4 linked regions of the Diceros bicornis minor genome follow. The protein of the gene in region 3 interacts with the protein of the main gene of each other region in a biochemical or structural test. Links are inferred from orthologs where the notes say so. Each region holds a gene or a part of one and is shown on either strand. Other genes may lie near its edges. The genes, in order: AKT1S1, FOXO3, AKT1 and MTOR.

What was found.
Region 1: of the proteins of AKT1 (region 3) and AKT1S1, one has a biochemical effect on the other in vitro, tested with the Homo sapiens proteins (2 studies listed by BioGRID). The link is inferred for Diceros bicornis minor from reciprocal best matches to the Homo sapiens genes AKT1 and AKT1S1.
Region 2: of the proteins of AKT1 (region 3) and FOXO3, one has a biochemical effect on the other in vitro, tested with the Homo sapiens proteins (2 studies listed by BioGRID and IntAct). The link is inferred for Diceros bicornis minor from reciprocal best matches to the Homo sapiens genes AKT1 and FOXO3.
Region 4: of the proteins of AKT1 (region 3) and MTOR, one has a biochemical effect on the other in vitro, tested with the Homo sapiens proteins (19 studies listed by BioGRID and IntAct, with this or other methods). The link is inferred for Diceros bicornis minor from reciprocal best matches to the Homo sapiens genes AKT1 and MTOR.

What each region holds. Positions count from the first base shown.
Region 1 is NC_080773.1:25,230,524-25,238,457, reverse strand, and holds the start of AKT1S1 (proline-rich AKT1 substrate 1), read left to right. Parts: upstream 1-4,925; 5' UTR 4,926-5,362; coding exon 5,363-5,562; intron 5,563-5,577; exon of another isoform or gene 5,578-7,188; intron 7,189-7,934. Other genes in the region: TBC1D17 (TBC1 domain family member 17), read right to left, coding at 3,532-3,606, 3,836-3,934, 4,388-4,408. UniProt on the Homo sapiens protein: Negative regulator of the mechanistic target of rapamycin complex 1 (mTORC1), an evolutionarily conserved central nutrient sensor that stimulates anabolic reactions and macromolecule biosynthesis to promote cellular biomass generation and growth.
Region 2 is NC_080762.1:26,451,975-26,459,035, forward strand, and holds the start of FOXO3 (forkhead box protein O3), read right to left. Parts: upstream 3,007-7,061; 5' UTR 2,821-3,006; intron 1,954-2,820; exon of another isoform or gene 1,721-1,953; 5' UTR 1,593-1,720; coding exon 975-1,592; intron 1-974. UniProt on the Homo sapiens protein: Transcriptional activator that recognizes and binds to the DNA sequence 5'-[AG]TAAA[TC]A-3' and regulates different processes, such as apoptosis and autophagy.
Region 3 is NC_080763.1:49,324,945-49,332,704, forward strand, and holds the start of AKT1 (RAC-alpha serine/threonine-protein kinase), read right to left. Parts: upstream 3,014-7,760; 5' UTR 2,923-3,013; intron 207-2,922; 5' UTR 121-206; coding exon 75-120; intron 1-74. UniProt on the Homo sapiens protein: AKT1 is one of 3 closely related serine/threonine-protein kinases (AKT1, AKT2 and AKT3) called the AKT kinase, and which regulate many processes including metabolism, proliferation, cell survival, growth and angiogenesis.
Region 4 is NC_080752.1:30,490,945-30,498,718, forward strand, and holds the start of MTOR (serine/threonine-protein kinase mTOR), read right to left. Parts: upstream 3,002-7,774; 5' UTR 2,919-3,001; intron 2,663-2,918; exon of another isoform or gene 2,345-2,662; intron 1,010-2,344; 5' UTR 996-1,009; coding exon 834-995; intron 175-833; coding exon 66-174; intron 1-65. UniProt on the Homo sapiens protein: Serine/threonine protein kinase which is a central regulator of cellular metabolism, growth and survival in response to hormones, growth factors, nutrients, energy and stress signals.

The sequences.
Region 1 (7,934 bases), on a different chromosome or scaffold from region 3:
CAGTCACACAGAATCACGTATTGTAGGATTCCATTTATACGAAACGTCCAGAAGAAGCAAATCTATAGAGACAGACAGTGGGTTACTGGTTGCCAGGAGCCAGAGGAGGGGTAATGGGGGGCGACTGCTACGCGTACAGCGTTTCTTTCGGGATGATGAAATGTTCTGGAATTAGATGGTGGTGATGGTTGCAAAATCCTGTGAATACTGAAAACCACTGAACTATTGAGGGAAATTTTAAATGTTACCATAAAATTGAGTTTTATGGTAAGTGAATTCCATCTCAACAACAAAAAAAGTCGCTGCCCCAGAGGTGGTTGTGAAAATCACGTAAGTGACCACCATGGGGCTGGTGGTGGCTGCTCTGACCTGAGCTCAGGGGTCTGCTGGGCAGATTCAGGGGAACCGTGCAGGGGAGGGCCGTGCTGAGGGTCAGAGTGCAGAAAAAGCCACGGGCCACGCAGGAGGACACGGAGGGGACAAAGTGTGTGAGCACTGTGGCGACTGTGAGTCCACTCCCAGGCCAGTGTGCCCTCCTGTATGGCAAAGGCTAGAAAGCTAAAAACTACATTTCCCAGGCTCCCTTGCAGCTAGAGTGCCACACACAAGACAGAATCTACCAATCAGATGCACTCAGATCTGGAAAGTGGAAATCAGATAAGGGCAACTTCCTGCCGCTCTGGCCAGGTTTGGCTGACAAGCAAGGAGACTCATCTCTCTTTCTCTCTCACACACAGAGAGGCCACTGGGTTTGTGGTGGGGCCAGCGCAGCCTTCCAGTGCCCAGTCACCAGCTTGAGGGGGCCGAGTAGCAGCTTTGATGGCAGTGTTCTTGAACTCAACAGCTCCAATGACAGTCCCCTCTCCCACCGCCCGCCTTTCCGCAGTGGTGGCAGCCCCCCTGGCAGGTCAGTCCTGCAGCGTCGGCCCTGTCCCTCCAGCCTTTGTCAGAATTCTCTGAGCCTCCGCGTCTTTGTCCTGAATCCCTTACTGCTTAAAGTAACTGCCGAGTTTGTGACTCCTGCAATGAAACCCTGCAGACTTAGAGCTATGAAGCCGGAAGGAGCCAGAGGGGGGCGTCTACCCAACAGCCATTTGTGCTGCTGCTTCCAAGCTGAGAGCCCCTACCACAGCAGAAGCAGACATCTCCTGGTATTCGCTTTCCCAGCCTTCCCTGCAGTTCTGAGCAGCCTGGGGACCCAACTCCAGCCAGTGGGGGCTGACAGGACATCTGTGGGGTGTCTGAGGAAGGGAAATTCCTGATAAAAAAGCACCCACAGGAGGGAACATCCTGTTCAGGCTAGCCTTTGGGTGCTGTCAAGGGAGAACATGGTGTTTGGAGCTGTGGCAGCCAACTAGGGCCATGAAGGGAGGGCCAAGGAGTGGCAAGAACACCTGTCCACAAGGCTGCTGAACCAACCCTGGCAAAGCTACCTCTACCCTTCGTGTTTTGTGACATGAAGAATTCAATGATTTAGCTGATGTTTACACAATTTAGTGATAGTTAATAGTGATGTTTATCAAATATTTGCAGCTTTTCTCCTCTCCAGCACACAGCAAGATCACAGCTCGGTGAACCCTACTGGGTGGTGGAGCCGTGCAACTAGTTCTGGCCAAGGAGCTGGGATGTATCTATCACTTCCAGGATGGACTCTTTAATCATTAGGGCAAGACTTCTAGAACTCTTTTCCTCTGCCACAAAGAATGTCGACTTTTAAGATGGTGGCTGCTCTAGCAACATGCTTCCTTGAGTAATCGTAATGAGCGGAGCTCTTTGGCCAACCTGCAACACACTTGTAGAGTGAGCAAAAACAGCCAAAAAGGCTGGCGCTCCAGCAGCCCTTCTGGGCCATGAGGGAGACTGGAGGATGGATGCCACATGCTGAGGAAAGCAGAGCAAAGATGGAAGGACACCGGGTTCTTGATGACATGTGAACTCGTACTTCTCACTTTTGCGCTTTTTAATAGGAGAGAAATGACCTTCTATTTGCATAGGCCGCTGTTACTCCTACTTCTATTACACACAGCAGATGTAACTCCTGACTGAGGTAGAGAGTTTCTGGGAAATCTCTTGTCTTCCTGATCAAAAGGACAGATGTGAATGGCACCCTGCTTGCCCCCTTCTTCTGCCTTAAAAGGCAGATGCAATGGCTGGAGATGAAGCAATCATTTAAAGGCTACGGGGACAAGAAAAGCAGGGTCCCAGTGACCCAGGCCCTGAGGTCACCAACCAAGGCCAGGAGTCCCATACCTCTCAGAATCTTGTGAGATAAGACAAGCAAACTTGTTTTCCTAACCTGTCATTGGTCTGGTTTTGTGATCCTTGGAGCTGAATGTATCCTGAGTGCATAGGTGCCCTTTCTGCTGAAGCCCATCTCAGTGCGTTTCTGTTATTCGAAAACAAGAGTGCCAAGGAGGATGGCAGTATTCTCCAGAAAGCCACTCAGATTGCCTGCGAAGTCGGTGAAAAATGCAGAACCCTGGTCGCTTCTTCCCCAGCTCCCTCGGGGCGGGGGTGGGGGTGGGGGGCCTCTGGAATCTCCATCTGTGCCCCCCCAGGTCATTTGAAACCCCACAGCCCCAGCTGAGGCTCCATGGTCTCTCACACCGGCCATCCTCCCCAACCTGCCGGCCTCCAATCTCCCTCCATTCGGTCCGTTGTTCCATCTCCCACGTGGCCCACCAGAGGGGGCACTCCACACCCACACCCTTCTCCTCTCATGTTTCCCAGTGCCCCCACGACAGGGTCCAAGCTTCTCAGCCCGGCAATTCAGGCCCAAACACCTTTCCAGCAAACCCCTCTACAGAGAATCCCCTTCCCCCTGTGCCCTGCGACACACTTCCTCGTGCCCCCTTCTAATCTCTAGAGTCCCAGCCCAAATGTGTGCTCCCCCGCGAAGAGGCGCGGCTCTGGAAGCAGAGTGTCTGGGTTCAAACCCAAGTTCCAACACCTCCTAGCTTTTTTGACCTCGGAAAAAGGGCTTTCTCTCGTTGTGCCACAGTTTCTCAAAAAGAGAATGGGAGTGAGGGCTTAGGCAGGGTCTGAGTTGGACTCATCCCTGGGTCCAGTTCAGGAAGCCTCAGGAGACATCTGGTAATGAGAAGGGGAGAGGAAGGCTGCTGGCAAAGGAGGTGAGCAGCCTCGGTCAGGTCCTGTTCCCTCTCCAGACCCGATGGCAGGACTGCCCCTTCAAGTTCTTATGGGCTGACGGCCTGTGGAACCTGAATCCACAGGCTGAGTTGTCTTCTTGCAACCTGGCAGGGCTCTCCCAAGAAGCAAAGGGGGCGAGGGAGCAGCTGTCCCCGTGGCCACGAATCTCATGGTGTCTGCTTGCTTTCTACGAATGGGCGTCTTCACCCCATTTCACACAGAGAAAGAAACCAACTGAGAAGCAGAAAGAACCTAGATCCCAACCAGGGTCACACGCGCCCCAATGGTAGGTCTGGGATTGTCCCCAAGTCCTTCCAATGCCTTCCGCTGCCTGGACCTAGAAAAAAGCAAGTGGAGAGGGGGGAAGGGAGAGAAGCCCACCTTCTTGGAGAAGAAGATTTGGGTGGAATCTCCAGCCTCCTCTACAGGGGCCCAGTGCAGGAGGACGTCGTTGTCCTGAGGTAAGGAGGAACGGGTTAGAGGAGCTCCGCTCCAAACTCCCCAAACCGTATTTCCAAACTCCTTCCTCCTCCTGGACTCTCAGGCTTCCGACGCCCCGCCTCTCCCTCTAGTCCCCACCCCCAGCCTTCCTGAGGTCCCATCGCCGACCCCCAGACCATACTCCTACAGAGGCCGCCTCCATCCCGCTCTGGGCGTGCCCGAGCCCTGCTCCCTCCCGGCCCACCTTCTCCACGACACGGATGACGCCGGCGATGAGCGAGTCCGGGTCCTGGTGCTTCTTGGCACTGGTGTGCAGGTACACGCCTCCCTTCTCAAACACCACCTGGGGGCGAGCGCCAGTGAGGGGCGGGGCCCAGGAGGCAGCCAATGGGAGCGGGCCGGGGGAGGAGCTATCCCCCAGGGGGCGGGGCCCAGGCGACCCCCACCGAGGGGATGGGGCTGGACGGGGTGAGGCCGACACTAGCCTGGCAGCGGGGACTAGGGGGTGAAGAGGAGGGTGGTGAGGGGAAAAGGAGCGACGGGGAGAAGTGGGCAGTGCATTCCGAAAGGGGCTGGGCCCAGGAGAGCATCTCAGCAGCCCAGAGGGCGGGGCTAAAAGATGCGGGTCTCCCTAGGGCAGTGGAGGGGAGGGTGACAGCGCGTTTATAAGGGAATGGTATGTTTGCTAAGGAGCTGTCGGGCTCCCAGAGCCCCGGCACGGCCTGAGGGAGAAGCAGACCACCGGAGGGGGGCGCTTCGCATAGACAGAAGAAAAGAATGCGTCCTCAGTGCTTACCCTGTAACCTGCTCCCTCCATAGCTGCGGCCCAGGCCCCACTGCCCCGGCGCCCTCCTTTTCCGGGTCAACGTGCGGTCACATCCGGGTAGAAGGCTCCCCTCAAGCCCGGACAGTGGTAGCGCCCATGTCTGTCCTGGAACAGGAGAGGGTGTAACCATCTTTCAGAATTGGGTGGTCGAACTTGAACCACGAGGGTTTAAGTCACGTGGCACAGACGCTCAAGGTGGAGCTGGCCCGCAAGAGTGCGCAGGCGCAGTGCTATCGCCCTCACGAAGTAAACAAGCCGAATCCAAGAGCTCCACCCCCTCGCTCAAGCTCCCTCCGAAACACCTACTCTTTCTCCATATTGTATACTGGCATCGAAGCCAAAGAGATGCCATTTTGCTCAAGGGCAGGGCTAAGGCCGGTCCGCTGCGGACATGTTAATGCGGGGCAGTCCCATCTCTCTGCGGGGCGCGACGGAGTTGGTGGGGGGGGAGTCCTGGAAAGGAGAAACGGATAAAGGAAAAGAAGGTGAGAGGAACTGTACGTCACAAGGGGTGCTGAGGGTCTCGGGTGAACGGGATGAAGCCGTCAGTATCCCCAGGAGCGAAGCGGTCCCAGATGAATTCCTGAGTCACCCTCGAGAGAAAGCGGCCTGCACCGCCATATTAAAGCTGGGCAAACCGAAGCAAGAAAGGCTGCCATTTTGGATCTCTGCTAGCCTCGGTGCTGAAGGAGGATAGGCCGGAGGGAGAGCCCATACACATTATGGGCAAATGATGCAGGCTGGCTGCCGTGTCATTAACGGGCACTGCTCTCCTCCACTTCTGTGGAAGAGGTTGCTTACGGGTGAGGGACGTAAGGTCGCTTGCTTTAGTGAACCGTGGTCCTGAGTGTGCATGTGCAGACGGCCATACTTCTTAGGGGCAAATCGAAATGGTCTAGGCTTGTTTTCGAGCAAGCCGAAGCCTTTTTTCCAACCATTTTTCTTATGGGTACCGTGCTGTCACCATTCCGCCACTGTGATTCGGTGAAGCCCCTGCGGCCGCCATCTTGGTCTCGGGCGGCCCGGATGTGGGAGGTGGAGCGTGCGGCATGGAGGAGGGCCAACCATGCGGAAGTGACGCAAGACGCCGCCATGTCTTTTGAGGGCGGCGACGGCGCCGGGCCGGCCATGCTGGCTACGGGCACGTGAGTGGAGGCGGCGTTGTGAAGCGCGGTGTGGGGAGGATTTGGCAGTCCGGAGGAGAGGGGCGCTGGGAGGGCGAGCCGCTCGTGGGAGGGGAATGGCCTGCGTAGGTCAGAGGGCAGAGGTCGCCCAGCGACCCTACGCCGAGCGCTGGACAGGGGTCGCCCGCTGGAATCGTCGTATCTGACCTGAGGCAAAGCCTAGGTGGCCTTATCCTCCAGTTTCCAGACCCACCAGGGTCCTCATCTTGGCCGTGGACCACGTCCACAGGGTCGGGGGGTTGCTCGGGGGGCTTCGGGGTGCCCCTCACCCGTTCGAGGGCGGGACTTCCGGCCCCGGTGCCCACCGGGGCGGGATTTCCTGTTTTCATCCTGGAGAAGTGGGTCTTCCCCGGACCCCCGGACGAGGTGGGGAGGTCTCTGAGCGGGGGAGAAAGACCCCAGGCAGTTACCCCGTCCCTGGCCACGGGGTGCATCCTCGAGTTCCTCCCACCCTCGAGCAGGGGGCACATCCAGTTTGACAGGTGATTGGAGAGGGGCTTCACTAGCATCCCTCACTCCTTGGGGGACTTACCCTCTTTCCTCACCTCTTCCTGGGGTCAGTTTCTTCCCTTCACCTCCTCACCGCATCCTAAGAGGCCAATCGCCTTACCTCTCCGCTCCCCTCCTGTGGAGACAGATCTCACCTCCTTTCCCTAATCTTAGATTCCTCCATTTGAGGGTGGGGGCGTCTTCCACCTCTCAGTTTCTTGGAGGATACAGGACTTCCTCCAGAAGCTGAAGGGGCGGGAAACTCCCCAGGTCTTGGCTCTCTCTGGGTGGGTAACCAACTCCACAGAGCCCCCCAGGCTTGACAGACAGGTCTGCCTGAGCCCCCTCCTCCTTTGGCCCATGCCTCGTCTTTGAGGTGGGGACCCTCTCGTTTCACTCTTCCCAGCCCTGTGGCTCCTCTAAGATCAGGACAAAGAGGCGTGTAATCCTAGCGTCTCAAGGAAGTGAGAGCCCCAGGCCTGGCACCGCTGGGCTGTGTGACCTTGGACCAGTCGTTTCCCTGCCCTGAGCCTCAGTTTCCTCCTTCATCAGGTGGGGACGACCCAAGGAGTGGCTGTGAGACCCTGAGCACCCCCGAGTGCTGTGGGGTTTGGAGTCAGGCAGATAGCAACTTCAGCCCCGCTTTTGTCACTGTGTGCCTTCCAGCCAGTGCCTTAAGCTCTCTGGGCCTCACTTTCCCCATCGGGACTAGGAGATCATAAATCTTTCCTCCTGAGATAGGCAGGATGGCATTTGGGATTCAGAACAGGCTCTGGATCCAGATCCCAGTCCCAGCTCCTGCTCTCCAGCTCCATGACCTGGTCAAGATACTGAATCTCCCTGGGCCTCAGTTTGCAACTGTCAAGTGGGCTGATAGCAGCTCCTCCCTCACAGGCTTGGTGAGAGGGTGGGATGAGGGTGTTGATGACACACTCAGGTCCCCACCTGGCTCGTGGGAAGTGCGGGATGAACTTGCTGCGGGTCCGTCAGGAACGGTGCTGGTGTGCTCTCCCTCTGTGTGGCTTCCAGCAAGGGCTTTGTGCCCCGTGAGCCTCGGGGTCACGCTCGTGAGTGACAGCTCCCACCTAAGTGGGGCAGGTAGGAGGTGAGGTGACAGGTGCTGAGTCCCTGCAGGGAGTAGGTGCTCAGCAAACACTGGCGTCTGTGATCATGAGTCACAGAGGGCCTGTGCATTGAAATCAAGCTACTACGACCCCGGGGGCTGGATCACACCATGCTTGAATCCCTCCAGTGATGGGGTGCCTACTGCCCACCCCAAGGAGGCTCCTCAGCTGCCCGGCAGCCCTGGCTCAACTACTCTGGTTTACAGGGGGAAGAAAGTGAGGCACAGAGAGGGCCAGTGAGTGGTCCAGGGTTACACAGCAGGTTTGGGACGGTCAGGGCAGTAAGCCAGCCCTCTTGCCCCTGCTCGTCTTACCTCATAAGGAGATTGTCTGCCTAGGGCAGAGCTGTCCTGGGGCCACAGATCCCTGACCTCGGCTTGCTCACAGTTTGATGGAGGAGGCAGACAAACTCAGTGACGTGAGCTGGAGTGGAGGTAGCCCAGGGCATTGTGGGTCTAGGGAAGGCATCTGGTCCGTCCTGGGTGATCAGGGAAGACGTCCAGAGGAACTGTGGGGACAGGGTCTCCTAGGAAGGACAAAAGCTTCTCGGGCCATGTTCAGGCGCAGGGAGCGGCTGACACACCATTTTCTGCTCCAGGTGCTGTCAGGCCTGCCAGGTGCTGGGCAGGGGCGGTAGCTCAGAGACAAATCGACAGGGCCGCCCTCGGGGGGCTCCCCCACTGGCTGGGGAGATGGACATGGGCCCAGACAGCACTCCCC
Region 2 (7,061 bases), on a different chromosome or scaffold from region 3:
AAATCATTACATCATAGGCCTTTCCACACCTCTCTCCCTACCATGTGTCCAGTACCTAGAGAGGCTGAAAAGGAGCAGTGGAGAGCCTCTCTTCAGGTTCACTTACAGATAGAAGCCATTTCGGCCCAGCCCTGCCACCAAACCTCTCTCCCACAGGCCTAGGTGAAGCGGCAGGCCCAGTCCTCCACCCCGCCTCGTGCAGCTCCCGAGTGCAGGCCTCACCGGGAGCAGCAGGTGCGGCCAGTCCGCGTGGAGGTGGCAGGGCTGGCCCGTTCCAGGCCCCAGAACAGCTCAGAGGCTACTAGGGGGCAGGTTTACTAAAGAGACATCTGTGAAAAATAAAAGTGTCAACACGAGGAAGGAAAGACAGCCGGCCAGGAAAAGGTTGGCAACCACTGCTTTCTCAAACGGGATCCATGTGCCTATGGGAGTTAACACCCACAAGCCTGAAACTTAGACCCAAAGGTTCTCATCCAGCTGGTGACAATACACCATGCTTCTGCGACCGACTGGAAACCACAAATCCAACCCCTCCTGCGAGCACCAAGTCCCAAACACTCCCCCACGTCCCCTCGCTCCACCCGCAGCGCCCTCACCGCACCCCACTACGGTGAACTCACCCCCACTACTCCAAAGTTGGTCGCGGACCTACCTTCTCCGTGCTGTCCCGAGAATCCAGCAAACGCACTCCTGTCCGTCTGTCCTTCCCTCGCCGGTGTCCCCTGCCCCCTCTCCTCACCTGGCCATGCCCGAGGCTTCCCCGAGAGCCTCCTTTCCGCCCCACCCCTCCTCGGCCGTCCCCAGGTTCCCCTCCTCCGGGGGTCGCAGAGAACCCCCAAAGCCTCCCCGCCGAGGCTCTCCTTGCCAACCCCTCTCCCCGGCGCCCGCAGGCGCGCTCCGAGGCATCGAAGGCGCGTCTCGAACTGCGCAGGAGGCCCAGCGGGTCCGGCCGCCCGCCCGAGGTGGGTACGCACCTTCCAGCCGGCGGAGCTGTTGCTGTCGCCCTTATCCTTGAAGTAGGGCACGCAACGCACCATCCACTCGTAGATCTGGGACAGAGTGAGCCGTTTGTCCGGGGAGCTCTCGATGGCGCGAGTGATCAGGTCGGCGTAGGAGAGGTTCCCCCAAGCGTTCCGCCGCGACGAGCATTTCCTCGGCTGCCCGGAGCCCCCAGCCGCCCCCGGCTGCGGGGGTGGCACTGGCTGCTGAGGCTGCAGCGGCGTCTGCGTCCCCCCGCTCAGCGCGCCCGCCGCCGGGGCTGGCCCGGCCCCGAGGTCCTGCCCTCCGGGAGCCAGCAGCCGGGCCGAGTCCTCAAGGAGCAGCCCGGAGCTCAGCGAGCCGCTCCCGCCGCTGCCGATCGCCATGGCCGAGCCGGCCCTCCCGCCGCCGTCCTCGTCGTCTTCATCGTCCTCCTCCTCGGGGATCATGGAGTCGGCGGCCGCCTCCCCCGAGGGCTTGGCCGGGCTCCCCTGGAGCTCCGGCCTCTGCAGGGGCCACGTACAGGAGCGCGGCCGGCTCTGGGGCTCGAACTCCGGATCCAGCTCCACTTCGAGCGGAGAGAGCGGGGCCGGGGAGGCCGGCGCCTCTGCCATCTTCGCCGCCCGCCCGCCGGCGGCTCGGGCTCTCGCGCTCTCCTCTCGCGCCGGGGAGGGGTGCGGCGGGGGAGGGACTGGGGCGCCGCGAAGACTCGGGCTCCTGGGCGCCGCTGCCGCCGCCACCGCTGGGGAAGCACAAGAGAAGAGAGAACGAGAGTTGGTTATCCCGGGCCGGAGCCCAGTCCTCGGCGAGTCCTCGCCCGCCGCTGCCGCTGCCGCCGCCCGAGCGCACCGCGCCCGCCTCCTAGGAGCAGGCAGACCTGGAGACGTGCGTCCCGCGAACCTGGCGCAGCAGACACCGCCCCCTGGCCGGGCCGCGGGGGAGACAGGAGCGAATCGACGGGCTCGCACGGGGCAGCCCCCTCCCCCGGCCGCTGCCAGAGCCGCAGGTCCCTCCTGGGTTAGGTGGCTGGGCGGGGAGGCAGGGGGAGGGGCGGGGAGGGGGAGGGGAGGGGGAGGGGCGCGGGCCGCGCCTTTAAATCGGGCAGCGGCCGGAGCTGGCGCAGCGGTGCCGCGGTCGGAGTCCGAGCCCGGGCGGGCGTGCGTTTGTTTATGTTTCGCTCGGGGCCGCTCAAGTGCTTCCCGCGGCGCCGCCGCCAAAGTCTGTGGCGTCTTCAGCTCTCCTCCCCGTCCCCAGCCCTGCCGCCTCCGCGCCTCCCCTGCCACCTCCCCTCCCAGTGGAGGGGCCCGAGCGCGGGGACGGCGCGGGCAGCTCCCTTCTCCCCTCTTGGCCCGCGGGCCGGGAGGGCGAACGTGGATCCGCGCGCAAATGGGCCCTTGTCACTTCCAGAAAAGAGAAAGACGGGAAGGGGGATAGGCAGCTCGGCTGGTGTTCGCAAAGGGTCGAGCCGAGCAGGAACAGCCACTTTGGGGTTTTGTGTGGTTTATTTTCTCGCGCACGTTGTGCCCTCCACCCGCTTCCCTGTAAAGATCGGGGGGAGGGGGCAAGTCAAACATAAATCTTCCAACAGGTCGGGAAGCGCCAAGTCTTCCCGGGCCGCCAGAAAACCCGGACCAGCACGTTCATCACCTCCTTGCTCCCGCTGCTGCCATCTTGACAGTTTTTTCTCCCTTCACTCAAGTCCTTTAAAAACACTAGCGGGGAGAAGGGGGGGCGCGCACACCGAGTCACGGGGAGGGAAAAGGGAAGCGCCTGGCCCAGCTCGAAAGCAGATCCGGAGTCACCGGGAAGGCGGACGCCCCGCTGCACAGCTCCGGCGCCTACCTCGATTCCTTCCCTTCAGGGACGAGGGGGGAGGACGCACAATCCCGCGCGGGCCCGGGGCACGGTGAGGAAGGGGCGCGCAACCTCGGTGAAGGAGAGGTGCTCCGGCCGCCGCTGCAGCCCGCCGGAGGAACCGCCTGTCAGCCTGCGCGCCGCCGCTTTCCACATTCCTCCTCCTCCCTTCCACCAGCAGGGCGGCCGCGGCAGCAGCACAAAGTTATAGACACACGCAGGGTGCCTCAACCTAGGCTGACGGCGGGCGGGTCCCCGCCCAGGGGGAGGGCTGGGCGGCGGGCCCGGGTGTGCTGTGTGTGTGTGCGTGTGTGAGTGCGCTCGCGCGCGCGCGCGCCTGCGCGACCCGGCTCCGCGGGGCTGCGGGCGTGGGTGTCAGGGCGCGCGCCACGGGCCGGGACTCGGCGGGCTCCCGCAGCCGTCCCCGCCGGGCTCCTCCTCTCTCCCCAGAGCCTCAACGACAACAAAGCGCGGCGCTGGCCCAGGAGAAGAGGGAGGGGGAGCGCAGAGCCCCAAACGCTCCACGAGCGCAGTCGCGTGGCTTCTCTGACTCCCGGCAGGGCGCCTGGCACCGGCGGTCCCCTGCACGCGCGTCTGCCCGCCCGGAGCCGCCCTGGTGTCCGGTTCTAATGGGGAACCGGACACCAGGTAACACCCGAGATAAGATGCTGACCGAAGATGGCAAGGGTTACCTCAGCTTGGAAATACTGACAAGCGACGATGTTGGTGGCTACAGGACTTCCATAAACTGATGCGCTTCGATTCGATCAGGCACGAAAAGGTTTGCACTGTCTCTTACCTAAGACGCTCGACCGCAATCGTGTTTCAATTTTCATGAATTTCGTGGCAAACGAGGGGAGAAGTGTAACTCAGGAGGGAAAAGCAAATTATTCCCCATTCCTAAACGCATGAGCAGATTTTGGACAACTGTGAATGGGAAGTAATTTGATTCTAATTTGTAAATGACGGCAAAACGGCTAATTGTGCATTTTTTACTTTAAAAAAGAGATACTCCTTTAGGTTTAGCAAAACATCTTCACAAGTCCTTATCTTACGATCAGTGCCCAGATCGTTCATTTGTGCACTAAGAATGCACCACATGCGACACACACACCAAAAGTCTATCCACTTTGATTCATGAATATCTTTTTTTCTCTTAAATCCTTCCAAGTCATTGGAGATATCTTACAGTCTAGAGCGGCTCCTCAACAACCCGACACACAAAAAGGTCCAACCCAGCGTACGCAGGAGTCCGCCCACCCGGCCTACTCCAGGCTCCGGGCTTTGCGAAGGGCCCGTCACTCAAGTGACGCGCGGCCCCGCCCCTGCACCAAGCTAGTTCGACGCGTACAAATAGATGATGTCATTGTATCCACACGCGCGTGACCCGAGAGCGCTGCGCCGCGTCGCCATTCGCTGCGCCGCTTACTCGTCAAGCCAAGTCGCACGCTGACTGGCCGCAGCCACCAGTCTCCAGGCCGCAGACGCCCCTCTCCGCCCCCGCCCCCGCCCGCACAGCAAATAATAAACAATCGAGTAAAATTCTAAGGCAGGAGGGGAGGGAGGAGTGGAGAAAAAGAGAGGGCGAACCAGAAGCCAGTCCTTGGCGCTCTGACGGAGGGAGAGTTAAAAGGAGGCGGACAGGAGAGGACCGGGGAGAGGAGGGAGGGAGCAGACCTGGGGTGACGGGTCCCGCCGCGATGAGGTGGCGTCAGGAGAGGAAAGTTGGAGAGCACTCTGCGGGGCGCGCCTGGCAGTAAGGGGGGCGTTAGGGCCCGGGAGCCGCCTGGCTCGGGGCTGGGGGGCGGTGCGCGGCCCGCCGCGGGGGAGGAGACTGAGCCTCGCCGGAGCGCCGCGGGTGGAGCCGGCAGACACGTGCAGGAGGAGGGCGGGCGCGCGCCGCACACGCTCACCCGGGGCGCGCGGCACCGCCAGGCGCGCGCGCTTGTTTACCAGCGCACGTGGGTGTTATTTTTAAATGGAATGTAGTGCTGGCAGCCGAGCTGAGTGGCGGGCGCGTGGGGCCGCCCGCGCCTTCTGGGAGAAGCCGCGGGGCCCGCTCCACGGCCTCTTCTGGCGCTGCTCTCCGGCCAGCGAGGCTGTCCCCGCGGCGGGCTTCCAGCGCAGCCGGCCCCTCGACCCGGGGAGCCTGACGGCGAGTTTCTCGCGCTGCGCAAGCCTCAACGGAAACGACGTGTTCCCGCCTCGGGACGCTGCCTTCTTTAACCCCGGGCTCGGTTCCCTCATTCACATTCCGGGAACAAAGCTACCTGCTTCTCTGGGTCCTGGAGGCCGCGCCAGGCCGGGCCCCGCGGCCACCGGTTCCGGAGCAGATTTCACACGCTCACTGGCACACAACAACCTAGCCGCGAGGGAGACTCGCACCACCTTGCGTGCTTTGTGCCCTCGTTCGCTTGCTCCGAATGTCCTCAGTCCATATGTGCCCATCTCTTGGGCATACAGCTCTGCCCACGTACAAATGCGCTTCTGCTGCTTCGGGGTGTCTTTGGAAGGAGGAGTCTGGGAACAGGGTTCTGGTTGCTTCCTGGGGTTGCTCCTCTGCGTGCGGCTCCTCTCCTCTGGTTGTGGGCCTGCCCCACTGAGAATCCCTGAGTTTGCATTTGGTTTATAGCCTGACAGTGTGGACAGTGCTGTCCGACCAAAACTCAGCTTCGAATGCCCATGGGGAGGCGGGGGAGCTGGAGCATATTACCCGGAGTCTGGTGTTCAGCTTTGCACGCAGAACCTGGTGGCTAGATCACCCAGGGCCTTGCACCATGATACAGTATAAAATCCAAAGAACTTTCAGCAGCTTTTTAAAAATACTTACAACACACTGTAAAAGAAATCTACCCGTTTTCTTCTCTAAATCTAAGCAATCTTTTGTCATTAAAGTGCAGACGGGCAGAAGGAGAAAGAATGTGTTTACACTGGCTGGGCTCTTGGCCATGAGATTTTCACTATAAACATGTGGGATGTCCATTTACAGAATGCATATCCCGAAGGCATACCAAAAAATGTAAAAGTTAAAGATTTAATAGATTAATTGAGCTCATTGAGACCTTCTTGGTGAGGAGTGGGGGACAGGGACGTGATCTAGCCATTTCCCTCAAAGAGCTTAGTCTTAGTTGGGGGTGTAAGACATATTAAAAAGTTCAGTATTTCAAGAGTTTAAAAACATACAAGACAAATACAAGAGGTCATACACATCGCATTGGGTAAGTTTCAAATGAGTTAAGGATCAGAACTTCAAATGGCAGTGACTATAAAAATTCAGCTTGGTAAATGTGCGTCTTACCCAAAGAATTTACACTTGTAATTTGTCCCTGTGGGCAGGCCTTTAAAAACTCAGAGATTGGATCTCAGTGATTGTTCTCTTTTAGCCTGAAACTGCTGTGACCTTTGCTTTCCCCTGAAAGCCTCCTTGGTCCTTCTCCATTTTTCCCCCTACCTTTTTTTTTCTAAACTTTTTAGTCTAGGAAAGCTGAGTAAGTTATGGTTGTTGACTGAATAGGAATGCCAGCATAACCTCTGAGGTAGAATTTTTGGTCACAGCTCTCCTCACTTCTTATCATACCCTGATTATTTCTACAAAGGATTTAAGGTGGTGATGTCCACTCCATATTGCAAATTCGGTCACTGGAGGAGCAAAAGTTAAATGTTTTTTTACCTGAATAAACTGAGTAAATTCACCATTTCACACATCTAATTATGAAGGGATTGATGGTAGATGCCAGGGCTCTGCCTCCGAGGGGGCCACCGCTCAGCACTTGTGTCCTTGCCCAGTCCTCTTTGAACCTAAGTCAGCTAGGTACGCCCTCTGACCCCAGAGCCCAAATACTAGGGCCTGAGCACGCTGCCTGGCAGCAAAGTGCTCATTTCCCTCTTGGATTGGCTTCTTGGTCCGTCTCAACAATGAAGACAGGAAACACAAATGCAGTATAAGCCCCCCAACAATTGTGTGACCCAGCTGAAAAGATGGAGCCCCAATATTCAGATCTATAGCTGCTCCCCGTCTTTTGTCTGACACCCTCATTAGTCCCTTCCTCTGCCTCCCCTCTTCTCAGCAAATTATGCACATGGAAAACATATTGGACACTGTGTACCAAAGAGCTTCAGTGTTAGCTTGTCTCTCTGGGTGTCATTCCAGACAGGTTTCATCACCACTCTCCCCAGGAGTCTCTGGAGCTCCCATCCCCTCTCTTCCTCTTTGCCTCCTCTGAGTGTGA
Region 3 (7,760 bases):
CAGCCGCCACCTGAGGGTGGCATGCTGGCCGGCTCCGGGGCCCCCACCCCAGGCCCAGCCCCGCGGCCACTCACCTCGTTTGTGCAGCCAGCCCTCCTTCACGATGGCCACGTCGTTCATGGTGCCCGGGCTCCGGCTGGCCGGGCGGCCCAGGTCTCACTCCCGCTCCTCTCTCAGCAGGGTCTCCCCGAGCCCAGCCCGTGCCTCTGGAAGAAGCAAAGGAAGTGTGTGAGGCTGTGTCCGGCTGGAGGCCGCTCCTCTGGCCCTGCAGGCAGCCCAGGAGGCCCATCGTACCCGGGGTCTCAGCCTGGGTCTCCCTTCCCCCTTGGCCTGCCCACCTCTTAGCCTTCAGAGCACAGCCGTCCCATCGCCTTCTTCCCGCCATGGCACTTGACATGAAGTTCCCGTTACTCAAACTGCTCCCTGGGCCAGGGCCTCTCCTCGACCTGGGCATCAAGGCCCCTGCCATCACCCCTCCTGGACCCCCAGGCCCTCAGAGCTCACTGCCCCCCCCCACCTCCCCCATTCCCACCTCCCCTGGACTTTATACACTCCCATCCCCAAGAGGCCCTCCCAGCAGATCCCAGCCTCCCTAACCTGCCAGCACAGCAGCAGCCGCCTCCTCCAGGCAGCCCCTCTGACTGCTTCGGCCCACGCCCCTCAGCATCCCCAAGTCCCTGGAGAGGGTGCCCCTGTTTTCTCTGTCTGTGGTACTCCCACCCACGGGCTGGGGTTCCTGGGGCAGGGCCCTGGCTCCTCCTCCCTGCCCCAGACTGGGAAAGGAGAGAAATTCAAACACAAAGAAGGCAGGGCCAGCAGCGCAGGCAGCTGGCGCAGATGAGAGCCAGAGCCCTCCAGGGGGACACGAAACCCCTCCCCTAAGAAACCCCAGGCCCCTCCTAAACCACAGCGCCCCTGCCGGTCTGAATCTGGTTCATTCATCGGCCAACACGTACCGGGCATCTCTGGTTTTGCCAGGCTCAGGGCTGGGCGCGGGGGACAAAGAGAGGCTCAGACGGGTCCTGTCTGTAAGGAGCACCCAGTCCAGGGTGGTTACAGACCCATAATTACAGCATTCACGAGGCCAAAAATGGGGGGTGGCACTGCAGCAGCGCAGTGGTACTGGCACCCACCCTGCAGTGGCCCACCAGCCAGCCCTCACCTGAGCAGACACTTTGGCCATTGATCCTGCACAGCCCTCCCCATTGCTCCCCTGCTGTACGAACTCCTAGGCATCCCTCAAAACCCAGTTCCCACATTACCCATTCTGGGCATCCTGGGAAAAAGCCTTCTTCCCATGAGCAGTCCTCTGCTACCCCTCCAGACGGGCACTCCTAAGGGCAGGCCCAAAGAGACTCCTCTCTGGGACATCCAGGCCAGGCAGAGACCCCTGAGGACCTCTAGAATGGATCCCAACCTGGGTCTTTCTACAGCCGCCTAGACACCCTCCTGAAGCCCTCCTTACTGGCCTCCTGAGGCAGGGGCTGGGCACCCAGAGGGCCGCTTTGCACTCTTAGGCTGACTTTAGAAGGGCAGAAGACCCCACTGCCTTGCGTCTGGTGCCAGGACAGGGAAGACACACTTGGCCCAAAGAAGAAAGTGGCTGACATGCTCAGCACGCCCAGGGGCAGCGATGGGCAGCAAGTGAGCCCCGAAGATACCGCAGAGGAGAGGGCTCTGAGCCCCGGGGACAGGGGGCTCTGGTGATACTTGAGTGGGCGTGGCCTGGGGGCAGGGGGCTGGACTCAAAGACCTCTGGACATCCCCCCACCCCCACCCCGGTCTGAGCAGGGCCTGCTGCTGACCGAGTCAGACAGCTGTTGAGAGCCCCGTGTGTAAAAATATATCTGTGCACACACATAGGGTGGTGTACGTCTGCACAGAAATGTACACACCAGCCCAGTGCCTGGGCCACCTCTGGGCACAGGGCCGGCGGGATGGAGGGGACCTCTGTTTCCCGCTACTTCTGTACTGTGAGTGCCTTTACCATCAACATGTACGACTGCTATTATTATTTAAGCCACAACTTGTGAAAAAAACAATCTGTGCTGTGAAAGGGTCCCCCCCCCCCAAAAACACTGACTTGTGAACTGTATGGTCAGCTCGGGGGCAGGGAATCAAGCCCCCATCAAAACAACCCGCCCTTCACTTGGATGAAGGGCTCAAGAACAGCAAGGAGGGGCCTGGAGCAAGGCGGGGCGGCAGGAGGGAATGTAGGGGGCCCTCTGGCCACAGAGCACAGCCCACGCCCCCCACTCTGTCCACCATGGCAGTAATTGGGAACAGTCCGGCCCGCCGGCAAACCTGCCCTGGACCCCCCACTCCGGGGGGCAGGCCCCGCCGCCCTCCGGGCCCCAGCTCCGGGATGGCTAGGCAGCACCTCCACGGCCCTCCCAGGTCAGGAAGCAGTTTGGGGGCCCAGGAGGGTGAGCAGTCCTTTGTGGGCTGGCCTGGGCACCTCGCCACCATGTACAACTTTCTGGCCATGGGAAAATGAGGTCTCCTTCCCAGGGCCCACCCACAAACTTCAAGGAGGGCTGGGGCGAGCCTTTTCCTAAGGACCCTGGGCGCCTACTGGGCGCCGCGGCCGCGCTGGCCAGGCGCCCGGGGAGCCCCGGGCAGCAGGGGCGCCCCAGCTCGCGGCCCCCGGCGCCGGGCCGCGCCCCTCCGCCCCAGCCCAGGCCTCGCCCGGCGGAGCCGCTTCCCCAAGGTCATGAGGGAGCCGGGGCCGGCGGCCCGCACCCCCGGCGCCGGCCCGGCCCGCGCCCTCCCCGCCCAGGCCGCGCTCGGCCACTTCCTGCTCCCGCTCCTCATTCCGGCTGCGCGCGGCCCGCGCCCCGGCCCCGCCGGCCGGGAACAAAGCGGCCGGGCGCGGGGAGGAAATCCGGGCCCCGGCGGCGGCGGCGGCGGGCGGGGACTCACCGGGCGCCGCGTCCGGGCGCGAGCGCGGGCCTAGCCGGGCCGCGGCCTCCGGCGCCCGCCGCTCCGCATCCCCGCGGGCCGGGCCGGGCCGGGCGGGCGGGGCCGGGCTGGAGGCGGCGGCGGCGGGCTGCTCGGCGGGCCTCGCGCGCCTCGGGGCCGGTGCTGCGCGCGGCCGCCGGCTCGCGTCCTCCGGCTGCGCTGGCTGCGCTGGCTGCGCTGGGCCGGCCGCCCGCCCGCCCGCCGCGCTCGGTGCCGCCGCCGCCGGCCCGCCCTCTCCCCGCCCCGCGCCCGCCCCGCCCGGCCGCCCGCCCACATCCGCCTCCGCCGCCCCGGGCGCCCCCACCGCGGGCCGGGGCGAGGGCGCGGCGCCGGGAGCGCGCGGCGGGCGGCTCTCGGGGCCGGGGCCGGGGCCGGGCCCGCTAACGGAGCCGGGCCACTGCCCGCCGCTGGGGCCGGGCCCAGACCACGTCCCCTCTGGCCTCAGTTGCCCGGTTTGTCCAGGGAGCCTGCGCTTCTCGGCCCAGTTCTGCCACGACCCTATTAAAAGGGCCGATCTGGGCCGAATCCTGGGCTTCTGCTTCCACTGGGGGGATAGGAGGGGGCAGGTTAGTTTGACTTTCAGAAGGTGCTCCAAGTGGGTAGCCACATGCTGGTGGGGGGGAGGGAGCAGCCAAGATTCTCCTAAAAGACCAACCCAAGGGCCCTGCCAGGTGAGCGCAGAGTGCTGGTCCCTGAGGGCATGCCAGAGGCTGGGGGGCGAAGTCAGGTCTGAGGTGGGCCTGGAAGGCTGGCTGGACCGTGGACAGGAGAGGGCAGGCTACGGGACTCGGTCGTCCATCTCTGTGCTGAAGGCCTGCCATGGGCCTGGCCCTGGGCTGGGCCCTCAATCCCTCCGGGGAGTCTTCCAGGAGCTCCCCTCCCCAGAAAGATGTGACATATGGCCCTATAAAAGTGGATGGGGACTTCACGTGGTGACAGTGAGGGCTGCAGGGACCAGTGGAGGGGCATGCATGTGGCACCCGGCTTCATGCAGCACACCTGGCCTGAGGTGCCCACCGGGGCTGGGCACAGACACACAGCAGGGGGAGCTGAGGGGGAGCAGACTCAGGAGAAGGGCTGTGCCAGCTGAGGCCGCCAGGACCCTCCCTGCTGTGCAAATGGGCCCTGGGCACCCACAGTCCACTGGCAGGCATCTAAGGGCCAGGGAGGCAGAGAGACTTCACCCCCTCCTCCTACAGATCCCCAGGATCTGCAGACAACTTCCCACCCGTGACCCCTCCCTGGGCCCTGGCCCTTGGCTAGAGCCACTAGTTTCTCCAACAGCTGCCCCTCCCCCCAACCCTGAGGCCTCCCAGTTGATAGTTATCCTTTTGTGAAAGGAAGACTCCTGTAAGTTACCTTCCTGAGGTTGGTATGTGTTGGGGGGGGCATTTTTGTTCTTCATCCAGGGTCAGAGTTCAACCTGAGGGGGCGTGGACACTTCATCTGGGTCAGAGGCAGGTGCAGCCCAGCTGAGTGTCCAGGACGGCATCTACAGCCAACACTGGGGCTCCATCCTTGCCTCTTGGGGCTGACCTGAAGAAGGACGCTCCTCAGAGAAGGACACTCTCTCCTGCTCAGGGGACACTGGCTCCTTGAGGAGGGGACTCCCAGTTCCCGGCCTCTCCCCTTGGCACTGCTGCCCCCCACCCTCCCACTGCAGCGCAGCTGTCCCAGCTCTGACTGTGTACCTCCAGGCAGGGCCGTGCCTCCAGGGGGCCCAGTGAGAGGCCCCGACCGTGCCGCTGGGGCCAGATGCCTGACCTGAGGGTCAGCCCCTGATGTCCAATGTCTGTCCATCGCTCACCCTGCACACCTTCCCCCTGGGGCCCCCTGGGACCATCCCACCTACCCACTGCTCTCCCAGGAAGGGTTTCCGTGCCCACCCCCCATCCTGAACTGACAGTGCTATGGAGGAGGTGGAGGACCAGAGGAGAACCCGGCAGGGTGGCAGCCAGTGGCCACTGAGGGGCCGGGAGGGCGCCGTCTTGTGGAACATGTGGCAGCTCCCCAGGTGCTCTGGGGCCTGCTGGCCATTTGAGGAACCGCATCTTGGCTGGGAGGCTGCATCGCAGTGGTCCCAAACCTCCAGGCCCGTCTCCAGGAGGTCTCCCTGCCTGTTCTGCACGGCGCTCTGGGCCAGCCCCCACTGTGCGTGACCTGCTGTGTGCCCCACACCCCATTCCATGCAGTGCCCAGTCCTGTCTGCACCTTGGCATGCCCCTGCCCTGTGACTGGGGTATCCCTGAAGGCAGGGCTAGCCCCCTCCGCCTCTGGCCTCCGGCAGGGAAAGCAGAGCCCCTCTCCTCAAGAACACCCCCTTCCCAACCCCCAGACAGAATGGCAAGGAGAGGACCAAGCTTGCCAGCCCATGCTGGCCGCTGCTGGGGCCGCTGAGATGCCCCTTGGCCAGATGTTTCCAACAAAAATTGCTACACTGCCCCTGAGGAGGGTGGCCGCCTGCCCCTCCCAGAGCACAAGAGCCTCCGGGCCTGTCACCTTCTGCAGCTGCCAGCCTTCTAGCAGGACTGGTGGGCCGGTGCCCGGGCTGCCTAGTCTCAGCAGCAGCTGCAGGGCGGGGCCTGGGGGCAGCTCCCAGGCCAGATGGCCGCCTGGCCAGCTGCGTCTGGGAAGCCTCTGCCCGCACCACTGCGACAACCTCCTGTCATCCCTGTGACTGGGACTGCACAGGGCCGGAGAGAGGATCCAAGGGCCAAGGGGCGGCCGGCTCCTGAGTACCATCTCCGGGCTGCCTGAGACAGCCCCTCCTCAGGGTGGGGGGTATCAGGACAGGGGGACCTACTCAGACCTTCCGACCTGAGAGACTCAGGGGCCTCTCTCCCACTCTCCCCTCCCCGAGTGACGTCCCTCCTCTAGCCCATCCCTACCTGGGCCGGCCTCCCAGGCCCAACCCCAGGCTCTTACAGGCAGCGTCCTAATTTGCTTCAGCCTCTGTCTGGCCCCCAAGGAGCACTTCGTCCCACCAGCCAGGCAGGGCAGGCCAGGGCACTCTGCCCACCCCGGGGGCCTCCTCCCGGCCTGCGGCCTGTGTGGGGAGCTGTCCGTCCAGAGCCCCAGCAAGGCCAGCCTCCCCTCCCTGCCTCCGCATGCTCAAGGCCGGGCCTGGGGAGGCCACACTGGGCATTGTGGCACCACAGAGCAGTCAGAATTCAGATGGCAGCACCTAGGGAACATCCCTCACGGAAGCCACCGCCATGCATTCACTCAAGAGACCTTTCCTGAACCCCACTTTGTGCCCCGACAGCTTCTTAGCCCCGAGAATACATCGGGGGAGCCGAGAGAGAGCACAGTCACACGGCACGGGGAGTGCTCTGGAGAAGGACGAGGAGAGGAGAACGTGGGCTTGGGGGGACCTCGGTGGGGTGGTCAGGAAAGACCACTCTTGGGGTGCTGCTGGAACAGAGACAGGAATGGAGGAGCCAGGGAAGGCCTTCAGAGGAGGAGCCTGAGGTCCTGCTGTGAGCCAGGCCCTGCCCTGAATCTGCCTTTCTGCAGATGAGGATATTAAGGTTCGAAGAGGCTAAGGGTCACGCCTGAGGTCGGGAGGGGGCAGGGGCAGGACTCTACACAGGCGAGAAGCCACAGGCAGTTCCATCTGGGTTCCCTCTGACTGGACTGGAAGTCAGCTCCTCCTGCTGTGGGCTGGGTGAGGGGGTGGAGGGAGGGGGTTGACCCTCCTCAGAAGGGTCCCCGAGGTGAAGGGCAATGGAGCCAGGGCCGTCTCAGTGGCTCAGTGCAGCGTGAGTCCAGAGTTCCACATTGAAGTTGCCGGATTTAGGAAATAAAAATACAGGACACAGTCAAATTTGAACTTCAGATAAACAAGGCATAATTTTTTAGTGTAAGAATGTGGCTTTCCTTCCCACACAGACTGTGGTGGGCCCCAGGCCCTCTGGCCGCTCCTCAGGCCCCCAACCCACCAGGCTTGAACAGGATTCCTGGGTGGCGACCCCCCATCTCACAGCCAGCACTCCCACCTCTGGAGCATCAAGGAGCACGGCTGGAGGGCTCCCCCCTCCTCCCCGTGCTTCCTCTGCTTGCATATACCAGGCCGGCTGGTGTCCCATCCTTTGTAATCCAGGCCCTCCCCCAGTGCCACTCCCGCCACTAATCAAGGCCTCCTTTCTACCCAACCTCTCCTGGCTGGGGCTCCCCCTCCCCAGCGCATCCTGCCTCCGGGGCTGCCTGACATGCAGGTGGGAACTCAGGAGACTGCTGGGATTCTAGCTTACTTACTGCCTGCTGTGTGGCGGTAGGCACCTTACCTAACCTGCCCACCAAAGCAGGTGTGATAACAAGAGCATCTAACTAACGGGACTGTTGGAAAGATAGCTGAGCAGCGGTCCAGAGTGCCTCAGTCCTGCTCCGTCAAGGGCAGCGCCTTGCCTCCTGCCCCTGGGCAAGACTCGCAGCCAGCAATACACCCCCCTTGGGGGCCCCAACTTCTCCAAAATCGTTGCTTTCCATTTCTCTTGGGCTATGTCCTTCTCCCTGCAGACCTAGGTGTCCCCTCACCCCTTCATGGTGCTCTTGCACCTGAAATACCCTGTCCCCAGCTTGTCAACCCTGCCCCTCCACGGTGTCTCCCCCTCCCTGAACACTTTTCCACCTGCTCTGGGCTCTGGAGGCGCTTGAGGACCCTTCTATCACAGCGTTTATCCCCCCACCCCGCTGTGTCCCTGAGACACTAGGACACAGCTCTGCGTGCCTGGCCCCCAGCAAACGCTGAGCTAGGGTCCGCTGAGAGGGTGACAGTCCCCTGTTCTGGACTCCAAGGT
Region 4 (7,774 bases), on a different chromosome or scaffold from region 3:
GCAGTGGACACAAAGGTGAGCACTTTATTCCTAGTTGTTACTGTCATCAGAGACTCTGTCCTTACCTATGGCCAAGATGCCACCTTTCCTCTCATTGGCATCTGAGCTGGAAACCAGTTCAAAAATGTGATGGTTCAGCTGATCATAGAAGCGAGTTGACTCCTCTTGACTCATCTGCAAAGGAAGATATACTCAGAACAATTTCTAATGTCTTCCTTATGGTGGTGGTGGGGGGTGGCAGGGGGATTTCCAAAGATTCAGACCTGAGAAGTGGCCAGCAGGTACATTTCAAAACAAAGACGACAAAGCTACTGCCCAACTCCATACTTTTAAACTGTAGAGCAAGTGAACTCACAACTCACCTGTTTAACAAATACATATTGAGTATTTACTCCATGGCAGGCCACGTCCTGTCCTAGGTTCTACCTAGTACCAGGGGTACAAGGATGAACAAGACATTGTCCCTGACTTCAAGTCTGGTCTCTATTTAGAAAGCCCTAAGCTATCACCTCTTCAAACCCATCCCAACCACTGTTATCAGGCAGAAAGAACTGAGGGTCTAGAATGTGATGGGAAAAAGAAAAAAATTTAAAAAAACAGCTGACTCTATGCTGACTCCTAAAATGTCACAACACAAGAAAGGCCACGGAAATGTGTAACCACTGCAAAGGAAACTGCACATTCTTTGGACATGAGAAATCGGGTGCCTTTCTAAAACAGAACCTCTACATTTTCCGAATCCTTACTTAGCTGTCAAAAGGAATCTAAACCAGTGATGGTACATTTAGCCCAAACACTCCATGACGATTGGCCCAAATGACAGAAGCCCCGACCTCTCGAAGCTCCATGGTGACATAGTGCTGGAGCTCCTTGGCAGCTTTGGCCCTGGTCTCCTCATTCCGGCTCCTCAGGCCACTGGCGAACTGCTGCAGAACGCTCACGTTGCTAGAGGTGGTGGCAGCTGTGGTGGCGGCGGCAGGCCCGGTTCCCAGCATCTTGCCCTGAGGTTCTATGGAGAGAAGCTTCCTTTAAATATTCTGGATAACAAACTATGGTGATGAATTTATTTATGGCCCCAGTTCCTGAACACAAATTTCCACCCAGCCCATCAGGTAGGGGATCCTAAAACAGGTTGGGAGACCTCACTGAGGAACGTGTAGAAAGCCTCAATTCATTTAACAATGACTGCTGTGTAAAAGAGGCAGGGTAGCAGAGAGGGTCAAACTGTGGGCTGTGGAGCCGGACTGAGTCTGAATCCAGTTCAAAGTTATATACCTTGAAGAAGATACTTAAAACATCTCAGTTTCTTCAACTGCAATAGGAGGATAATAGCACCCAACTCATCGAGTTGCTGTGAGGATTAAACGAGTTAATACATGTTGAAAAGTGCTTAAAACAGTGCCACAGTGTAACCGTAATTGTTAGCTATTATTATCATTATTACTACTACGTACGTGGCACAGCGCCAGGTACTAGAGGTAGGGAGGTCGAGAGAGAATAAAATCTGTCTAAGACTGCCGCTTTCCTCAAGGAGTTCAACTTAAAGAGGGAAACGTTATTATTCTGTAGCAGCACTGTCCAACAGAAATATAATACGAGTCACAAATGTAATTTTAAACTTTCTAGTAGCCATATCAAAAAAGGTAAAAAAACAGGTGTAATTAATACATTTTATTTAATCTCATATATAGAATATTCAACGTGTCATCAGTATAAAAGAATCATTGATATATTTTCCATTCTTTTTTTGTTCTGAGTCTCCAAAATCTCGTGTGCGTTTTACAGTTACGGCAATCTCGGTTTGGACTAGTCACATTTCAAGTGCGCTAAGCCACATGTGACTGGTGGTTCCTGTACTGGACAGTGCAGTTCTACAGAATACTAGTACTGGGAATGTGAGCTAAAACAGACTGATCAGTTCCTGAGATCACGCATTCATTCCTCAGTTATGTACCTTCCCTCAATGAGCTCAGGATCTAGAGGGAAACATAAATAATCAGGCAACCACAATAAAGTGGACATAACAGGGCTCAGCCGAGACTGCTATGGAAGTAAAACGCACACCTGACCCAAGAATGTTCAGATTATACTAGAAAACCAATTTTTCAAAATTCTTATTTTTGGAATAATTTGTGAGATGCAGAGGAAAAAACAGGGAAGAACTGGTTTTGAAAAGCTTTTAAATACTCTGGTGCCAAGACAAAAACTGCAGAAGGAAATGTCATTCTTCGGGAAGAGGAAACCCAAGGATCCCTGATGAGAACACAACTATGGAGCGAGGGTGGGGTGTCCGTGATGGGGGGAGGCTGGTGAGGAATTTCCATTCTCAGGAAAGACCCAGTACCTCTTTACAAGGTCTGAGGCCCACCGGCCATCTGCTCCAGACAGAATTCGATGAAAATACTGGGAGCCCAACACCCCAGGGGTCTTGGCGAGGGCTCACTGGGCGGCTGAGATGAGGGATGGGGGCGGGCAGACGGCGAGGACGAACCCAGCGGAACCAGCTCAACCCCGGGACTGGGTCCTCGAGAGGCTCCGGGGCGCACTGCGCGGGGCCGACACTGACGCTGGTCCTCTCTGAGGACATCTGTAGGCGGCTCAGAACAAGGGGTGGCTGACGGGCACGGAGACCCCAAGGCGTCCCGGCAGGTCCGGAGCCGATGGGCCGGTCTACGCGGCGCCAGAGACCACGGCAGGCTGCAGGGTGCGGGGCTCTCCTCGGGGTCCGGGAGGAGGTGGGCGTGGCCTCGCGGGGCGGGGGTCAAGAGCTCAGGCGGCGCCCAAGTCCGTGGGGCCGGTACTGAGGGGACCCCACGTCCCAGACAGGCGACTTCCCGGGGCCCCCCCACGGACCACGCCGGCCGAGGGTCAGGACATTCCGCCGCCGTGGAGGGGTCGGTGCCAGGCCCCAGACTCACCGCGCGGCTTCGGCCAAGGCCTCAGCTGCCGCCGCCAGCGCCGGTACCGCCACTTCAGGCCCCCGGCCCCACCACCCGCCTGGCCCGCTGTCCTCTAAGCCGGGGCGGGAGTGAGGGCGGGCTCCTATTGCTAAGGACCAATCGACAGGCGTAAGAGAAGATGGACTGGAACACAGACCAATAGTAATGAAGGAGCAGTGGGGCTTCGGGACCCGGCTTCCCCAGGGGGCGGGGACTGTTCAAATAGACAAACCACGCGACCAGTGGCAGGAGAAAGGAGGTTTAGGTTCGCTCGGGAGGACCAATCGGTCGTGAGTTGACTTCGGGGGCTTCCACGCACACATCCGGTGCGTCGCTACTATAATTCCCCTCGGCACTGGGGCTGTAGCCGCGCGGAGTCCGCTGTGTGGTGCGGTGAGATGGGACCGCGAGGGGTGGGCGAAGGTGCGTGACCCCGCCCGGTTTAATTCTGAGACCAGAGTGTGAACGAAGCCGGTGCCCGGTAGCTGCTGGAGCAAAAGACCTAAAGTTTTCGGACTAGCTCAACTTATGTACCCGTGATTTCTCTTTTGTTAAGTGTAATATGCATTTGAAAGCGCTTTTAATTAGATTTTCCCACTTTTCCAAAATTATCTAGCTCACAAGATCATTCGCGAGAAACCATAGCCAAGTTTGAACTAAATGAGCCACTCGTAAATAATTTTCAAGCAGCATGGTTGTTAAAACATCCCTTCAAAAAATCAGTTTTAAAAATGGAATTTGACATCTCAGTTTTTAAATACATTCTGTTTATTATAATAAACATTGAAAATTCCTAAATATCTCACAATTGGAGTCTGATAAAATATGCATTCATATTAAGGAAAACGTGTAGCCACTAATAATGATAACGCAGATCAATATTTGCTAAGAAGGAAAATGGTTCAAAGTTTAAAAAAATATGTTATAAAACAGTATGTTAAATATAACCCTTTTAAAAAACATAATTTTTATGTGTTCTGTGTTTACAGAGGGAAAATATACAACTAAGATGTAATGGGACTTGGGGAAGGCATATTTTTTTCTTTGTACATTACCATCAATTACTTATGTAATAAAAAGAAGTGTTTGTTTAAGAAATGTAAGTTTCTAGAAGTCCTAAACTGCCATTTGAAAGAAATTTGCTAATATTCTGTGGCTAACAAAATGCTTTGAAAGATTTTTTTTTAAATATGATTTACTGCTTTAGGTTTAGAATCTTTTCATTGTATTGCTTATTCTGTGAACTAATTGTTCCTCTGCATTCCACATTTTTCACTTGTGTTCAACATTTCTATTTTTAATCATTAAACATTTTTGAATATTATATATTCACTGTGCAGATCTTAACATAAATAAAAATTATATTTATCATGAAAAGTCAGGCTCCACCCCTGCCTCTTCACTACTTATTTTCTTATTTCCTAAGTATCCCTAAAGTTTCTTTATGCAATACAATCAAATATAAATATATATATTCTTTTGTGTGTATGTGAGGAAGATTAGCCCTGAGTTAACATCCATTGCCAATCCTCCTCTTTTTGCTGAGGAAGCCTAGCCCTGGGCTAACATCCATGCCCATCTTCCTCTGCTTTATATGGGACACTGCCATGGCATGGCTTGACAAGCAGTACGTGGGTCCACACCCAGGATCTGAACCTGTGAACCCCGGGCCTCTGAAGCAGAGCACATGAACTTAACCACTATGCCACTGGCCGGCCCCTAAATACATATTCTTATTTTCCCTTTTTGTTACACTATATACATTGTTCTGCACTTTTTAAAATTTTAGGGGGTCTTGGAGATCTTTCCATCTTAGTATATAAAAAGCTTCCTTGTTCTTTTGTTGTTGTTTTGGTTGCATAGTATTCTATCACGTGGATATACCATTATTTATTTTTCCAGTCTTTTTTTTTTTTTTTTGTGAGGAAGATTAGCCCTGAGCTAACATCCATTGCCAATCCTCCTCTTTTTGTTGAGGAAGACTGGCCCTAGGCTAACGTCCCCCATCTTTCTCTACTGTATATATGGAATGCCTCCACAGCGTGGCTTGATAAGCAGTGGGTAAGTCCACACCTGGGATCCAAACCTGCAAACCCCGGGCCACCAAAGCAGAGCACATGAACTTAACCACTGTGCTACCGGCCGGCCCCTTTCCAGTCCTCTTTTGATGGACACTTGTGTTGTTTCCAAATTTTTGCTATTACTAATTATGCCGCCTATTAATGCTTTTGGACATATATAATTTTATTCCCTGGCAGTTGTACCGAGATAAATATGCGGAAGTGGAATTACAGATTCAGAGAGTAAATCCATGTGTACCCATGCTTGATGGATATTGTCAAATTGATCTTTATAGAGGAGGTACCAATTTTCACTCCCACTAGCAATATATGAGATTTCTGCCACCTTAAGATGTAAGGCCCTGTTTTCTTATCTTTTTTTTATTAAGGTATAATTGACATAGATTATATTAGTTTCAGGTGTACAATATAATGATTCAATATTTGTATATACTGCAAAATGATCACAACAATAAGTCTAGTTAACATTGGTCATCATACACAGTTACAAAAATTTTTTTTTCTTATGATGAGAACTTTTAAGATCTACTCTCTTTGCAATTTTAAAATATGCAATACAGTATTATTAACTATACTCACCATGCTGTACATTATATCCCCAGAACTTATTTATTTTATTACCTGCTTTCTAATTAATCAAAGATGCTTTTATAGCAACAGTAATCAGTGCATCTGTAGATCTCTTTTCAGTTTACAAAGAGCTTTCTTATCCATTATGTTAAAATAATAACTAATATTTATTGAACACTTACAAAGTATCAGGCATTTTAGTGGACATTATAGAGCAATATAAAAGGAGACTGGAGTCAAACTAACTGAATCTGAAACTCAGCTCCAACACTTACTAACTATATGAGCAAGTACTTAATTTCCAAGTAACTATTTCTTTATAAAACCAGAAGGGTTACAATGTACCTATCTCAGTAGGCAGTGTTGTGGGGTTAAACACCAATACATGTAAAGCAACTAAAACACTGTATGACACATGTGAACAGTCAATAAATGCTGTTACTGTTATTCCTGAACATTTCTGTGAGGCAGGCTGTATTGTTCCCACTTTACACACAAGTAAACTGACACACAGAGGGATTAGGTCGTTGAGTTGGTAAGTGATGGAGCCAGGATTTTAATACACCTGCTGCTTCCTTTTCTCTGATTTGGCAGCGTAGGACTCTCAGGTTTGGCCAGCGTCGCAAGTATGTGCTGGGTGGTGGAGCTGTAAATATTTAACAACCAGCTAGCTGGTAGAGGAGGGGGGCATGTATGTACATACAGGGCTGTTTTCATGGCTGTGTGACCTATGAGGTCGTGATGTTGTGTCTTGAAATTCTTAACGATTTTTGAACCAGGGGCTCTGCATTTTTATTTTGCATCGGGCACGAAAATTATGTAGTCCATCCGTGTACATGTATGTTATATGTGTATTATAACTTTATGTGTTATATATGTTGTTATAACACATGTAAAGGATGTGTAGCACACAACTTACAAATAAAATACACACTACTCTTTATTGTAAATTCCATATGGCAGGTTGATTCTAACGGTATGCTTTCTTTGATATTGTGTAGCCTCCTTATGGCTGCAATTGACCAATAAGTGTAGTCTCCCATGAATGTTGGTTGATATTTTCTTTTATGTTAATGAGTAAGAAAGAGGAAAGTGTGACAATCAAGAGATGTTGGAACTTCACTAGTTTCTCAACGACATGAGTGGCTTCTTTGCTGAACTGGATAATAATTTTCCAATACTGGAAGAATATTTCCTCAAAGTCTTGTTGCTAGTCACAAAGTAACAGCTACAGAATTAACACACTTTTACCTTCGACCTGCATTATTAACTTTTCCTTGTCCCTTGCTTAAGTCTAGAGGATCAACAAAACAATTATCAAGGATTGGCTGATTTGCTCAGTATAAAGACTCCCATCGTGGCAGGTTTCAAGCTACCAGCGGATGTCACTGAATGAAAAGCTGGGACGAGATGAGCAGAAGCACATTATTATGTAGTATTTCCACAATGCAGATACAACAGACGCAAAGAACCTGAAGAGCATAAATGCTAAAATGTAGTGAAATAATTAGGAAGTAATGAGGTTCGAGTATCTGTTACCTTTGTTTTTAATATAGTTTTATCTAATTGTGAGTTTGTGTAATTTAATTTTTAGTAATGGCTGTGCCTAATGACCAGTTCACAAAATTCCTAAAAATGTAACAGTTGGCTCTCTCCAGCCAGAACAAGCTACAGGTATGGACCATAAGCTCCCAGAAGGTGGGCAGTGGAGACACAGAGCTGGCCACCTGGTGGGGTGGGGAGGAGGGCGGTTATTTGCATGAATAAGTAAATAAACCAGAATATGGAAAAAAAAAAAAAAAAAGGGCAGGCAGGGCAGTATATGGCATATGGTAATTGCACAATAAAAAGCGGGAATTACCAGAACTAATAATTTCTTAGACATTACAAGTTTCTCATTTAAAAAGGGGGGGATAATTATACCTTTCTCATGGCCCTCAATGCGCTCCCTGATTTTTGTCCATTTTGTTCACTGCTGCGTACCATACTGAGTGCTCAATAAATGCTTGTTGCATACAGTAGGCTCTCAATAAATGCTTGTTGAATAAAAAATGAATGAGTCCTATTTCGGTGAGTGAAAGCGCTTGGTAGGTCGGAAAGCGATAAGCATTCGTGGTCGTTCTTGTGATGCTGAGTTAAGCTGTTTCCGGCAAGTCTAGGAGCAGCTGCAGGCGCGGACCTCCG